Saccharomyces cerevisiae S288C: one gene and its partner. The protein of the gene in region 1 interacts with the protein of each later gene in a pairwise test. Each region holds a gene or a part of one and is shown on either strand. Other genes may lie near its edges.

What was found. The genes of interacting proteins can lie anywhere in the genome.
Region 2: the proteins of AAH1 (region 1) and SAF1 interact in binary tests that used the Saccharomyces cerevisiae proteins (3 or more experiments, as listed by UniProt).

The regions. Positions count from the first base shown.
Region 1 is NC_001146.8:355,990-363,425, reverse strand, and holds AAH1 (adenine deaminase), read right to left. Parts: upstream 3,831-7,436; coding exon 2,787-3,830; downstream 1-2,786. Other genes in the region: THO2 (Tho2p), read left to right, coding at 1-2,502; YNL140C (uncharacterized protein), read left to right, coding at 1,940-2,509; ammonium permease MEP2, read right to left, coding at 4,474-5,973; YNL143C (uncharacterized protein), read left to right, coding at 6,240-6,632. UniProt on the Saccharomyces cerevisiae protein: Catalyzes the hydrolytic deamination of adenine to hypoxanthine. Plays an important role in the purine salvage pathway and in nitrogen catabolism.
Region 2 is NC_001134.8:762,284-766,671, forward strand, and holds SAF1 (SCF ubiquitin ligase complex subunit SAF1), read right to left. Parts: upstream 2,415-4,388; coding exon 501-2,414; downstream 1-500. Other genes in the region: PAF1 (Paf1p), read left to right, coding at 1-311; glutamine amidotransferase subunit DUG2, read right to left, coding at 2,687-4,388. UniProt on the Saccharomyces cerevisiae protein: Substrate recognition component of a SCF (SKP1-CUL1-F-box protein) E3 ubiquitin-protein ligase complex which mediates the ubiquitination and subsequent proteasomal degradation of target proteins.

The DNA of each region.
Region 1 (7,436 bases):
GCAGTTTCTATCCTAAAGGAATTAATTATTACAGTCGGGGGCATTAGAGACTTAAACGAAGTTAATATGAAGCAACTATTAATGTTAAACTCAGGATCACCATTAAAGCAATATGCAAGACATCTCATATATGATTTTAGAGATGATAATTCGGTTATTTCGTCGAGGCTAACCTCATTTTTCACTGATCAGAGCGCTATTTCTGAGATTATTCTCCTGTTATACACTTTAAACCTGAAAGCAAATACGCAAAATTCTCATTACAAAATTTTATCCACTAGATGCGATGAAATGAATACATTGTTATGGTCGTTTATTGAGTTAATTAAACATTGTTTGAAAGGGAAAGCATTTGAAGAGAATGTTCTCCCATTTGTAGAATTGAATAATAGGTTCCATTTATCGACACCGTGGACTTTCCACATATGGAGAGACTACTTGGATAATCAATTGAACTCAAATGAGAATTTTTCTATTGATGAATTAATTGAAGGTGCAGAGTTTAGCGATGTTGATTTAACGAAAATATCAAAGGATCTTTTCACTACTTTTTGGAGACTTTCATTATACGATATCCATTTCGATAAATCACTATATGACGAGCGTAAGAATGCACTATCCGGAGAAAACACGGGCCACATGTCAAATAGAAAAAAACACCTGATTCAGAATCAAATCAAGGATATTTTGGTTACTGGAATTTCGCATCAAAGAGCCTTCAAGAAAACTTCAGAATTTATATCTGAAAAATCAAATGTCTGGAACAAAGACTGCGGGGAAGATCAAATTAAGATATTCTTGCAGAATTGTGTTGTGCCAAGGGTTTTATTTTCTCCTTCAGATGCTCTCTTCTCTTCGTTTTTTATCTTTATGGCTTTTAGGACAGAAAATTTGATGTCGATATTGAATACTTGTATTACATCAAATATTTTAAAAACGTTGCTGTTCTGTTGTACTAGCTCTGAAGCAGGCAATTTAGGTCTGTTTTTCACTGACGTTCTTAAAAAGCTTGAAAAAATGAGATTAAATGGCGATTTCAACGACCAAGCTTCTCGAAAGCTTTATGAATGGCATTCAGTAATTACCGAGCAAGTCATTGACCTTTTATCCGAAAAAAATTACATGTCAATTAGAAACGGTATTGAATTCATGAAGCACGTCACTAGTGTCTTCCCTGTAGTGAAAGCTCATATCCAGTTGGTTTACACAACTTTAGAGGAAAACTTGATAAATGAAGAAAGGGAGGATATTAAACTACCAAGCAGCGCATTGATTGGCCATTTGAAAGCGCGTTTGAAGGACGCTTTAGAATTGGACGAATTCTGCACCTTAACTGAAGAGGAAGCTGAACAAAAGAGAATACGTGAAATGGAATTAGAAGAGATCAAAAATTATGAAACAGCTTGCCAAAATGAACAAAAGCAAGTAGCTTTAAGAAAGCAGTTAGAGCTTAATAAGTCGCAAAGACTTCAAAATGATCCACCCAAAAGTGTTGCAAGCGGCAGTGCTGGATTAAATAGCAAGGATAGATATACTTATTCTCGTAATGAGCCTGTAATCCCAACAAAACCTTCTAGTAGTCAATGGTCATATTCCAAAGTCACCAGGCACGTCGACGATATAAACCATTATTTGGCCACGAACCATTTACAAAAGGCAATTTCCTTAGTAGAGAACGACGATGAAACTCGGAATTTAAGGAAATTATCTAAGCAAAATATGCCAATATTCGACTTTAGAAATTCGACTTTGGAAATATTCGAAAGGTACTTTAGGACACTCATTCAAAATCCTCAAAATCCAGATTTTGCAGAAAAAATTGATTCGCTTAAAAGGTATATTAAAAATATCTCGCGCGAGCCATACCCAGATACGACTAGCTCATATTCTGAAGCTGCTGCTCCTGAATATACCAAAAGATCAAGTAGGTACAGCGGAAATGCTGGAGGCAAAGATGGTTATGGTAGTTCCAACTATAGAGGACCAAGCAATGATCGTTCTGCACCCAAAAATATTAAGCCAATCAGTAGTTATGCACATAAAAGGTCAGAACTACCAACTAGACCTAGTAAAAGTAAAACATATAATGATAGAAGTAGGGCACTTAGACCCACAGGTCCGGACAGGGGCGATGGTTTTGATCAAAGGGATAACCGCTTACGTGAAGAGTATAAGAAAAACAGTTCACAACGTTCACAATTACGGTTTCCTGAAAAGCCATTTCAAGAGGGCAAAGACAGCAGCAAAGCCAACCCTTACCAAGCTTCATCTTACAAGCGCGACTCGCCTTCAGAAAATGAAGAAAAGCCGAATAAAAGATTCAAGAAGGATGAAACAATTAGAAACAAATTTCAAACGCAAGATTATAGAAATACACGAGATAGCGGTGCTGCCCATAGAGCCAATGAAAATCAAAGGTACAACGGAAATAGAAAGAGCAATACTCAGGCGCTTCCGCAAGGTCCCAAGGGTGGGAATTACGTCAGTAGGTACCAGAGGTAATTACTAGTACTTAACATACCCGAGCTGAATTTTAACGTGTACTTTGATAGTTCCCGAATTGTAATCTCGTGAAATACAAAAGGTCCAGCTAATGCTCGTATAATCACTCAAATAAGTTTGTAGAATTCTATTGTATCCTTTCCCACACAAAAGGGGATGTAAAAAGCATCAAAAACATCGAATGAAATTTGTGCATACACATAGTGTTATAAATTTACAAAAAAGCGCTTATGAATCGAAAAAGACTTTCAACAAAAATATTATACAATGTCTTGCAAATGGTACTAATGCGAATATTTAGTGACTACTTCGTCCACTCTACTTAACAAACCGTTCTTTCTTTTATCGTCACACCATGAACCTTTAATGGCGTTCTTAGCGATACGACCCCATGTTTCATGGTCCCAGTGTGGGAAATCTTTCGAAACTTGAGTGTAGACATCTAAGATATAACCACCAAAATAGGCGGGGTCATCAGAATTTAAAGAAAATGGAACATCTCTGTCAAGAAACTTTTGTAGTGGTAACTCTGAAACGGATTGGACTACTTGTAGCTTCACGTTGGAGAGAGGACAAATAGTTAGCATGGTCTGGTCGCGCGACAACCTATCCAATAACTCCTCGTCGTATTGACTGTTGATACCGTGATCGATTCTTGTTACTTGCAACAAGTCTAAAGCATCCGAGACGAATTGAGCGGGGCCTTCTTCACCTGCGTGTGCAGTTAGTTTTAAATCTTTATTCAATGAGGCGGCCTTTCCGTAACATTCAACAAATAAATGTGGGGGAAATGGTTTCTCAGCAGAATCTAATCCTAAGGCAGAGATAGTACCATCTTTAATAAATGGGGTAGCTTCTTCGATAGTTTTCAAACATTCCTCTGGTTCAATGTGTCTTAACAGACACATAATTAGCTTGGATGTAATACCAAATTCAGAGAAGGCTTTGTCACAAGCTCTTTGGAAACCTTTAGTGACTGTTTCTATGGAGATGCCCCTAGATGTATGTGACTGAGGGTCGTAAAACACTTCAGCATGGACCAAGCCTTGTTTGTGAACTTTTTTAAAATAGGCCCACGCCAAATCAAAGAAATCTTGTTCACTAATCAAGACATTAGTACCAATATAATAGTAATCTAAGAAATCCTGCAGATCACGAAACTTCTTATACTTTTCGTTTAATTCCTCGACCGATTTAGGAAAACCTTCAGGTAGAATTATATCGTTTCTTTTAGCTAATGGGAACAATAGGTCAGGTTCTAGAGTACCTTCCAAATGCAAGTGATGCTCACATTTTGGTAACTCCTGTAAAAACTCCACAGAAACCATTATTTTTTTTTTCTTTTCTTTTGTTAGTTCTAATGGTAGTTATTATTTCAAAATAACTATAAATACACAGGCCTGCTTGTCAATTATTCATTTGCAAAAGATGTCGCTTTCATAAGCCTTATATGTTAATTTTTTTCAATCTTCGTTGGCATGCGATGAGGTCAGTTTCCTGCGCCATTTCAGTGCAGTTTCGAGAATTTTAAGATTCAAAAAAAAAAAAAAAAAAAAAAAAAAAAAAAAAAAAAAAAAAGAAAAGAGATGGAAACAGTGAAAGATAAGGCAAAAAGGAAGTATATCAAGGTTTTTACATCAAAATATGTCTTCTATAAGCGATGAAAATTTGCAACCAAAGCAAAATAAACCTTGTGCTCTTTTCCTGTTAACAGCATATATAGGGTATATAGAGGCTTTCTTAAAGAAAATTTCTTGCTATCATGCTCTGGAGATGCTGTATATTATAGTGTGCACAGTTAAAGTCATCGATTATGATAATAACATAAGACAAGAGAAGTAATACTAACGTCTCCCCTCATCATTCGGAGTTATCAAAAAAAGAAAATATATCAAATATTAAAAATAAAATTATTAAATGAAGCGTTACATAAAGATTAAACATAAAATCATAGTCTGCTTGAGTATATCATTATACTATATGGTCAGTGTTCTTAGTAGAAGAAGCGTCGGAAGGCGTAGAATTCTTTTCTGCGTCTGTGTTACCCACAATCTTATCATCAATGTTTTCATGAGGAGGTGGCATTTGTGCCGATGTTTTAGATCTGATTGGTTCTGGGATGTAAGCAGTGGATTCCTCGTATGTAAATTCACCAATTTGAGCAGCGTCGGTACCTAATTCTTCCTCATCAGCACTTAATCTTAGTTTTAAAAATGGAATGGCATTCATAGTTAGAAGCAAGATAGATGTGACAGTAACAGTCCAGGCTAGTGCAGCGCATATACCTGCTAATTGATAACCAACTTGTTTATAGTGATGATTGATCCAGCCACCATCAATTGGACTAATGTAAGAGCCTGCAGTGGCATTTACATAGTCTGCAGCAAAGATACCAGTTAATACAGAACCAATACAACCACCCACACCATGGATAGAGTAACAATCTAGACCATCATCGATGCGCAATAGACTCTTTAAGTCAACAGCAAGGTTACATCCTGCACCAGTAACCACACCAATGACAACGGCTGACCAGATTGGCACGAACCCGGCGGCTGGGGTGATACCCACTAGGCCAGCGATGATACCTGAACACAAACCAACTGTAGTCCACTTTCTTCCGCATCTGAAATAATCGATAACCATCCATGTCAAGCCACCGCAAGCAGCAGCTAAGTTTGTGGACATAATAGAGTACCATGCTCGTATAGTTGCATTACCTGCAGAGCCTCCGTTAAAGAACATCCAACCAAACCATAAGAACACTGTGCCTAAAACCACCGAGGTGACGGAATGTGGTTTGTACTTGGGCATCCCTTTACGTGTAACAGGGTCATTACGCTTACCCAGTATCAAAGCGTAAACTAGACCACCATGTCCAGATGTTAAATGGACACATAAACCACCTGCATAGTCCAAGCTACCCAATTTGACCAACCAACCCTCGGCATTCCAGACCCAGCATGCAATAGGACAATAAACAATAGTCATCCATAAAAACAAGAACACCATCATAGGAAACAACCTTGCCCTCTCGCAGGCACCACCTAGCATTAGGGCACCGGTGACTGCGGCAAACATACCTTGGTAAACGGCAAACAGTATATCGGGAAGAGAACTGACACTAGATGGGGCTCCTAAAACGTTACGAAACCCAAAGAATTCCAAGGTACCAATAAAACCGTTACCTCTAGTGTTGTGTGAGAAAGCTAATGAGTATCCCCAGAAAAACCATTGGAAAATACACACGGCGGAAGCCATCATCGAGGCCCAAAGCAAGGATAAAGCATGCTTTTTCCTGGATAAACCAGAATATAATAAACCGATACCTGGGACCATAATCCACACACCTGCTGAAGCCACACCGATCCATCCCATGTTGGCCAAGTCAAATTGTGTATTCAAATCTGTTGTCAACGAGTTACCACCCGTTCCTTCGCCTGTAGGCGTACCTGTAAAATTGTAAGACATTGTTGATATTGTATTGTAATATATTAAGTATGATATATTACAAAACTAAACTTCTTTCAAAGCTCTGTGCAGACTTATTATTTAAGAAGGATATTTAATTTGAAAGGACGTGAAAGCACGAATGATTACTACCCACTGATGTTTGGTTAGCACATGTGTAACTACTGCTTATATATGGTGCAGAAAAGTGGCTCGGAATGAACACCTCTTGTACTGAATACTTCATTGATAAGGCACAGGGTCTTCACGCCGCTTAGTATTCGTCGATGCGTGAGCAATTGAAGCTTTTTACGAGGGAAATAGTCGATTTTACATTTCTTATCTTATCTGGCTTTGACTATTACCAGACACTCTTGATAAGCAGTAACAGCAGTAAGAAGAGACCGAAGGATTCTTCTTTGTTATCGGAAAAAAAAAAAAAAAAAAAAAAAAAAAAAAAAGATGTCTTATCTTATCTTTCTTATCTTAAAGACCTACCATTTGTTCCTTTTCTATTTTGGCAGCCCGGGTATTCGCAAAGGGAAAAAAACCCAAGACAGCATTCCTTGTTCATTATGACTATTACAAAGCCAGGAATGATTTCGATGGCCGACATGAATTACGTCGTTTCCAAGAACAGAAGCTTAAACCGTCCTGCTGAGCGGGGCGGTAATCGGTGACCAGGCAGCCTATAAAATGAAGTTGACAACCGAGTAGGCTATCACGTATGCATGGAACGTATATTTTAGCGTGACCAATGCTGAATGATGATAGTCTATAGCTGAAAATATTATCCAATAATATCAGAAAAAGAAAACTCACCAGCACCAGTGCATCCAATCTGTATTCTGTTAGTATTCCTGATACAGTTATTTCCCTCGTTATGGCTCATTCAGACGCCAAAAAGAGCATAGAGTTAGACAACATTGGAGGGAGTAGCTCAGTTACTGTTGACAGTGGCTTTCACTAATAAAAGCCATTGCAATATGATAATGACTAGCAGAAATTTAAATATTAACAGGATTCTTCTTGGATGAGAAACGTACATAATTTCGCAAAAAAGAAAAAAATATTTACTGCTATAAATCCTGTCATCAACAATAGTTTTCTTCCTTGCCAACGTCCTTTAGCACAAATCTCGTAGGTTCTATGCTTAACAGAGCGTCAACAGAAGCGGGTATCGGCTCGACGTGAATAATGGAGATTGTTACATCCATGTGCCGCTCTACCCATTTCATTTCTACGCCTCAATAAAATGTATGAAAAATGAAAAGATGTAAAACAAAACAACAGTTCCGTAACCGCGGAAAGTTGCGTCTCGTAAAAGGAATGAAAAACTCATATACATTCACCAGATATGTTCTATGAAACTCGAAAGCTTCCATCAATTCACACTAAGCTACACGGCTCCTAATAAGCACTGTAATTCCATCAAATGACAGCGTGACTTCTTGAGTAGTGTAGAACCACTCGTCCCACTAAAT
Region 2 (4,388 bases), on another chromosome or scaffold:
CTAACATAAGGGACAAGTTAAGAATGAAGTTTGACCCCATAAATTTCGCCACTGTAGATGAAGAAGACGATGAAGACGAGGAGCAACCAGAAGACGTTAAGAAAGAATCGGAAGGCGATTCAAAAACAGAAGGTTCTGAGCAAGAAGGAGAAAATGAGAAGGATGAAGAAATCAAACAGGAAAAAGAGAATGAACAAGATGAAGAAAATAAACAAGATGAAAACCGTGCAGCTGATACGCCCGAAACTTCAGATGCTGTTCATACTGAACAAAAACCAGAGGAAGAAAAGGAAACTTTACAAGAAGAATAGAATATTGAGAAGTGAAGGGAGATTGATTTTAAACCTGTAGTTCTTTTTACATTTGTTTGGAAATAAAAAAACCAAAGTAAATATTATAAATATGTATTAATAAAATATGCATTACCTCAATGTAGAAGAAAAAGATAGTGAGCACCCAAACGGAATCCAAAATGCAAAATCGAAATGACACCTAAAAATTCAATGCTTCTTGATGATTAATGCACCGGTTTGCCAGCCACCAGCAGTTACACTGACACAAATATAATCTTCAGGTAGTTCTATTTTCGTGGGCTTAACGACCCTAATGTTTCTTTGCCCTTCCCAATTGCCAATATGTAGCTCGTTAACTATTTTTTCAGAAGGGCCCAATCCTAAGCACCCACAATCCTGACTTTCAATACCCCATGAATACAAATGACCGCGTTCGGTTAGTGCCACCGTGTGATAGTCACCACTTGCAACGGAGATAACATTTTCATTGATGTCTAGCTCCGTTAAACTATCTTTATCGACATCTCCATTTGTTACTTTCAAAGTATAACAGTGAGTATCGGTGAAGAGGACTAATGAAGCAAAACAGGCGTTAATTTTGCACAGTTTTCCGACAATATTTAAATCTACTATCTGGTTCAGTCCATTGTGGTACTTCCATAGTTTATCGCCGTTGTTATTAATGAAGAAAACGCAGTTATCTTGTAAACATGCAAAGTCGACAATCCTGGAGTCTCCATTAACATCATTCGTATTCGGGACAATCTCGTATTTTGCAAAAGCAAAGCTCTCGCCCTTTTGAATAGCATCTCTTTCTTTCCATGCAACCAACCCGACCTTATATATATAGCAACAATTGAAATTCCAACCACTAGCAATTTTCAAAATAGGATTCGTAGCACGACTAGGTAGGTTAGCAAACTCAATTTTGACACCTTGGTCAGATTCCGTTGAGTCCCAAGAATAAATATTGTTATCTGTATCCATTGCTAGGAAATGACTTCTCCCAGAGCTTACCGCGACAAATTGAATATCATTAAATGATCCTAAATTTTCATCCCTACCACTATATAATGGGAAAGAATTTCTTGCGAACATTCTCCTGATATGATTATTTCCTGGTACAGCCTTGTTAGCACTTCGTTCCAGCATTTCTATCTGGCTGTAAATATTCTCATGCGGCCCCATTGAAGGCATTGTAGTTCTAGGGACACCACTATGGCTCCCTCCGGGAGAGGCTGCAGGCGCACCTCCGCTATCTATGGTAATATGCTGAGCTGTAGTTGCATTTCCTGGTTCATAAGCAGTAGATGGATGGCTACCGCTCATTCTCCTTCCAGAAAATGTACCCGTGGTATTGACAGTACTCCCATTACTGCGGCTAGTGATCCGCGGATACGATCTTTCCATATTGTGAATCATTTCTCTGAAGGGATTATAATCATGCTGTGAACCACTGGGACCTGGTCCTTTTAACCCTCCAGAAAAAGTGGATCCGCTGCTGTAAAGGTTACCTGACTCAGTCAATATTTGGAAAGAAAAACCACCACTAGATACTTGAGCTATGATTTCGTCTCCATCCTTCTTGATGGCGCTTAACGGGTCCTCTGAAGGAGTGAAGTTACTAGTTCTAGATGTTGTCCTACTGTTAAACCAAGGAACTTCAGTGGGGGTATTGACACCATATTTGAACCGCGGACTTGGCCCGTTTAGTGAAGTGGCGACAAGTTCATTATTGGAACTCGCGGTATAGCCCAACCTTCCATGCTTTAAATAACCCCAACTATAAAACTTTGCATCATATGCCCGTAATTGGTATACTTCCTGCCATGACAAGGTGGGGAATGCTTCTCTTAAAATCGTCTCTGTGCAGGTCTTAAATTCCGCCGAATTTCGACCCTGGAAAGGCTCGTCATTTGTCTTTAATGTCCCAAATGCCTTATGAAATAGTTCATGCCACAAAATTTTAGAGTGGTCAAAATCTAGTAATGTATTATAATACTTATTTGTCTGCGAGAGGTTCTTAATATCATCACTGCTTAAAAATGGTAGCGTAGCTTGAACGATATCTGGGGACAATCCTGCGTCAGGCTCCTTTTCTCTGCTCTCAACTTCACTCATGATGTGCTTTTCCATTTATAATTGAGAGTATATCCTTTGGACAATAAAACTATACTCCAAAAAAGGGGTTGGAGCTTTTATACGCCTTTATCCATTAATCATCCGTTTGCTCAATAAAAGGGTCTCGGCGAGGCGCCCGGAAGAATCATCTAGCAATACCTTCAAAATAATACGGACATTAAATACAAATTAACTAATTATCATTAGGTAGAGGCCTACATATGCAAATTGGGTATATATTAAGCACTTTAAAATCAATTGTTTGTAGTTGTTTATAACCTATTGAATACTTTAGACAAAATCTCAGTCAAATTAGACCAATTTTTGATTCTGAGATTTTCGTTGGCTAAATGGCCATTGTCAGTGGATTGGCCACATGGTATTTGAACAGCTGGCGCGTCGAATATTCTTTCCAACATTCTCAAACATGAAATAGAACCTCCTTCTCTTACTAGCAATGGTTCTACGTCCCATGCAGTAGTAATTTCGTCCTTTAATATTTGGTATGCATGATTTGTTGGGTCACCCAACCAACCTTCTGCTTCGTTTAAAACTTTAATTTCTAGATGATTTTGAGATTTCAATTGCTTGAAACTTTCTTCTAAATACGCTTTGAGATCTCTCTTGACTTGTTCTACACTTTGCTCAGGTACTAACCTGATGGAGATACCCATGGTGACACTTTTTGGAATAACTGTTATGTTACCAGGACCGCTAAACTTGACTGTTGTCATAGACAAGGAAGGCTTAGTCCAGTTGGTAATTAAATCTTGAACAGTAGTATTTTCGTCGATATTTGCAAGCTCGGTAATTTTCTGAAACCTTTGATATTCTTCTTCAGTCAGATCTTTCAATGGTGAATAAAAATTTGGAATCATAATTTCATTTTGTTCGTTTTGTAGTTTGGACACGATTTTCACTAAATTAACCATAGGTTCATCATAAACACCACCGTTAAGACCAGAATGTCCGTCAGGCTTATCGCTCCAGACTTTTATTTGGGCATTAATAACACCTCTCAATCCATAATTCAAGCATGGATGTTCTTGATCAACCCAAGTAGAATTACTTAATAAAATCCAGTCAATATCTTTTCCAATAATATCATGGTACTTTTCACAAACTTGCTTCAAACTAGCAGATCCGATTTCTTCACTTCCTTCCACCAAAAATACGACATCGTTCACCAATTCTCCCTGTTGAAACAAATACGCCACACTATGAATAGCGCTCACCAATGGCCCTTTATTATCTGATACTCCTCGACCTTTTAAGTATCCGTTTTCACAAGTTAAAGTAAATGGGTCGGTATTCCAGTTGAAAGTATTTCCAGACGATATAACGTCATAATGCCCATACCATAGAATACGCTTTTTCTTGGCACCCTTCACCTGTGAAACTTTCCCATTCCCTTGAAAATATGCGAATACAACAGGATTACCACCATCAGGCAATGGAAATAATTGGGAGTTTGTAGCTCCAAACTTCAAGAATAATTGTTGCAGGTAGATTGCACAACGCCTTAATGACAAAGTATTAGTAGTGTCTTTGCTTTGAGACACTGTCTGGAAAGAAATAAGTTCTCTCAGTGTGTTTAACATCTCCTCGTTATTTAGAGAGGCAGATTGATAGGCGGCCCATAAATTGGTGGTTTGTAATGTAGATGATGCATTGATGGGTGAGTTGCTTGACAGAGGCACCGCAGATAATAATGAGGTTATATCCCAGAGAGTCAATGACCCATCGCTACCACCCGTTAATAAACTAACAGATCCAGCATTTGATTTACTGAAAATCTCTGAGCTTAATATTTTTCCTTGTTGAGGGTTCCAATGGTTAACTTGGTTCTGGTAAAAATGCGTGATGCCTGATTCATCAATGGCAAATACATGGTCCATATAAACTGATATTGAAATGACGTCCGATTCATGCTTTGTTTTCAGAGTTGAGATTATTTGCTGAGTATTTAAGTCC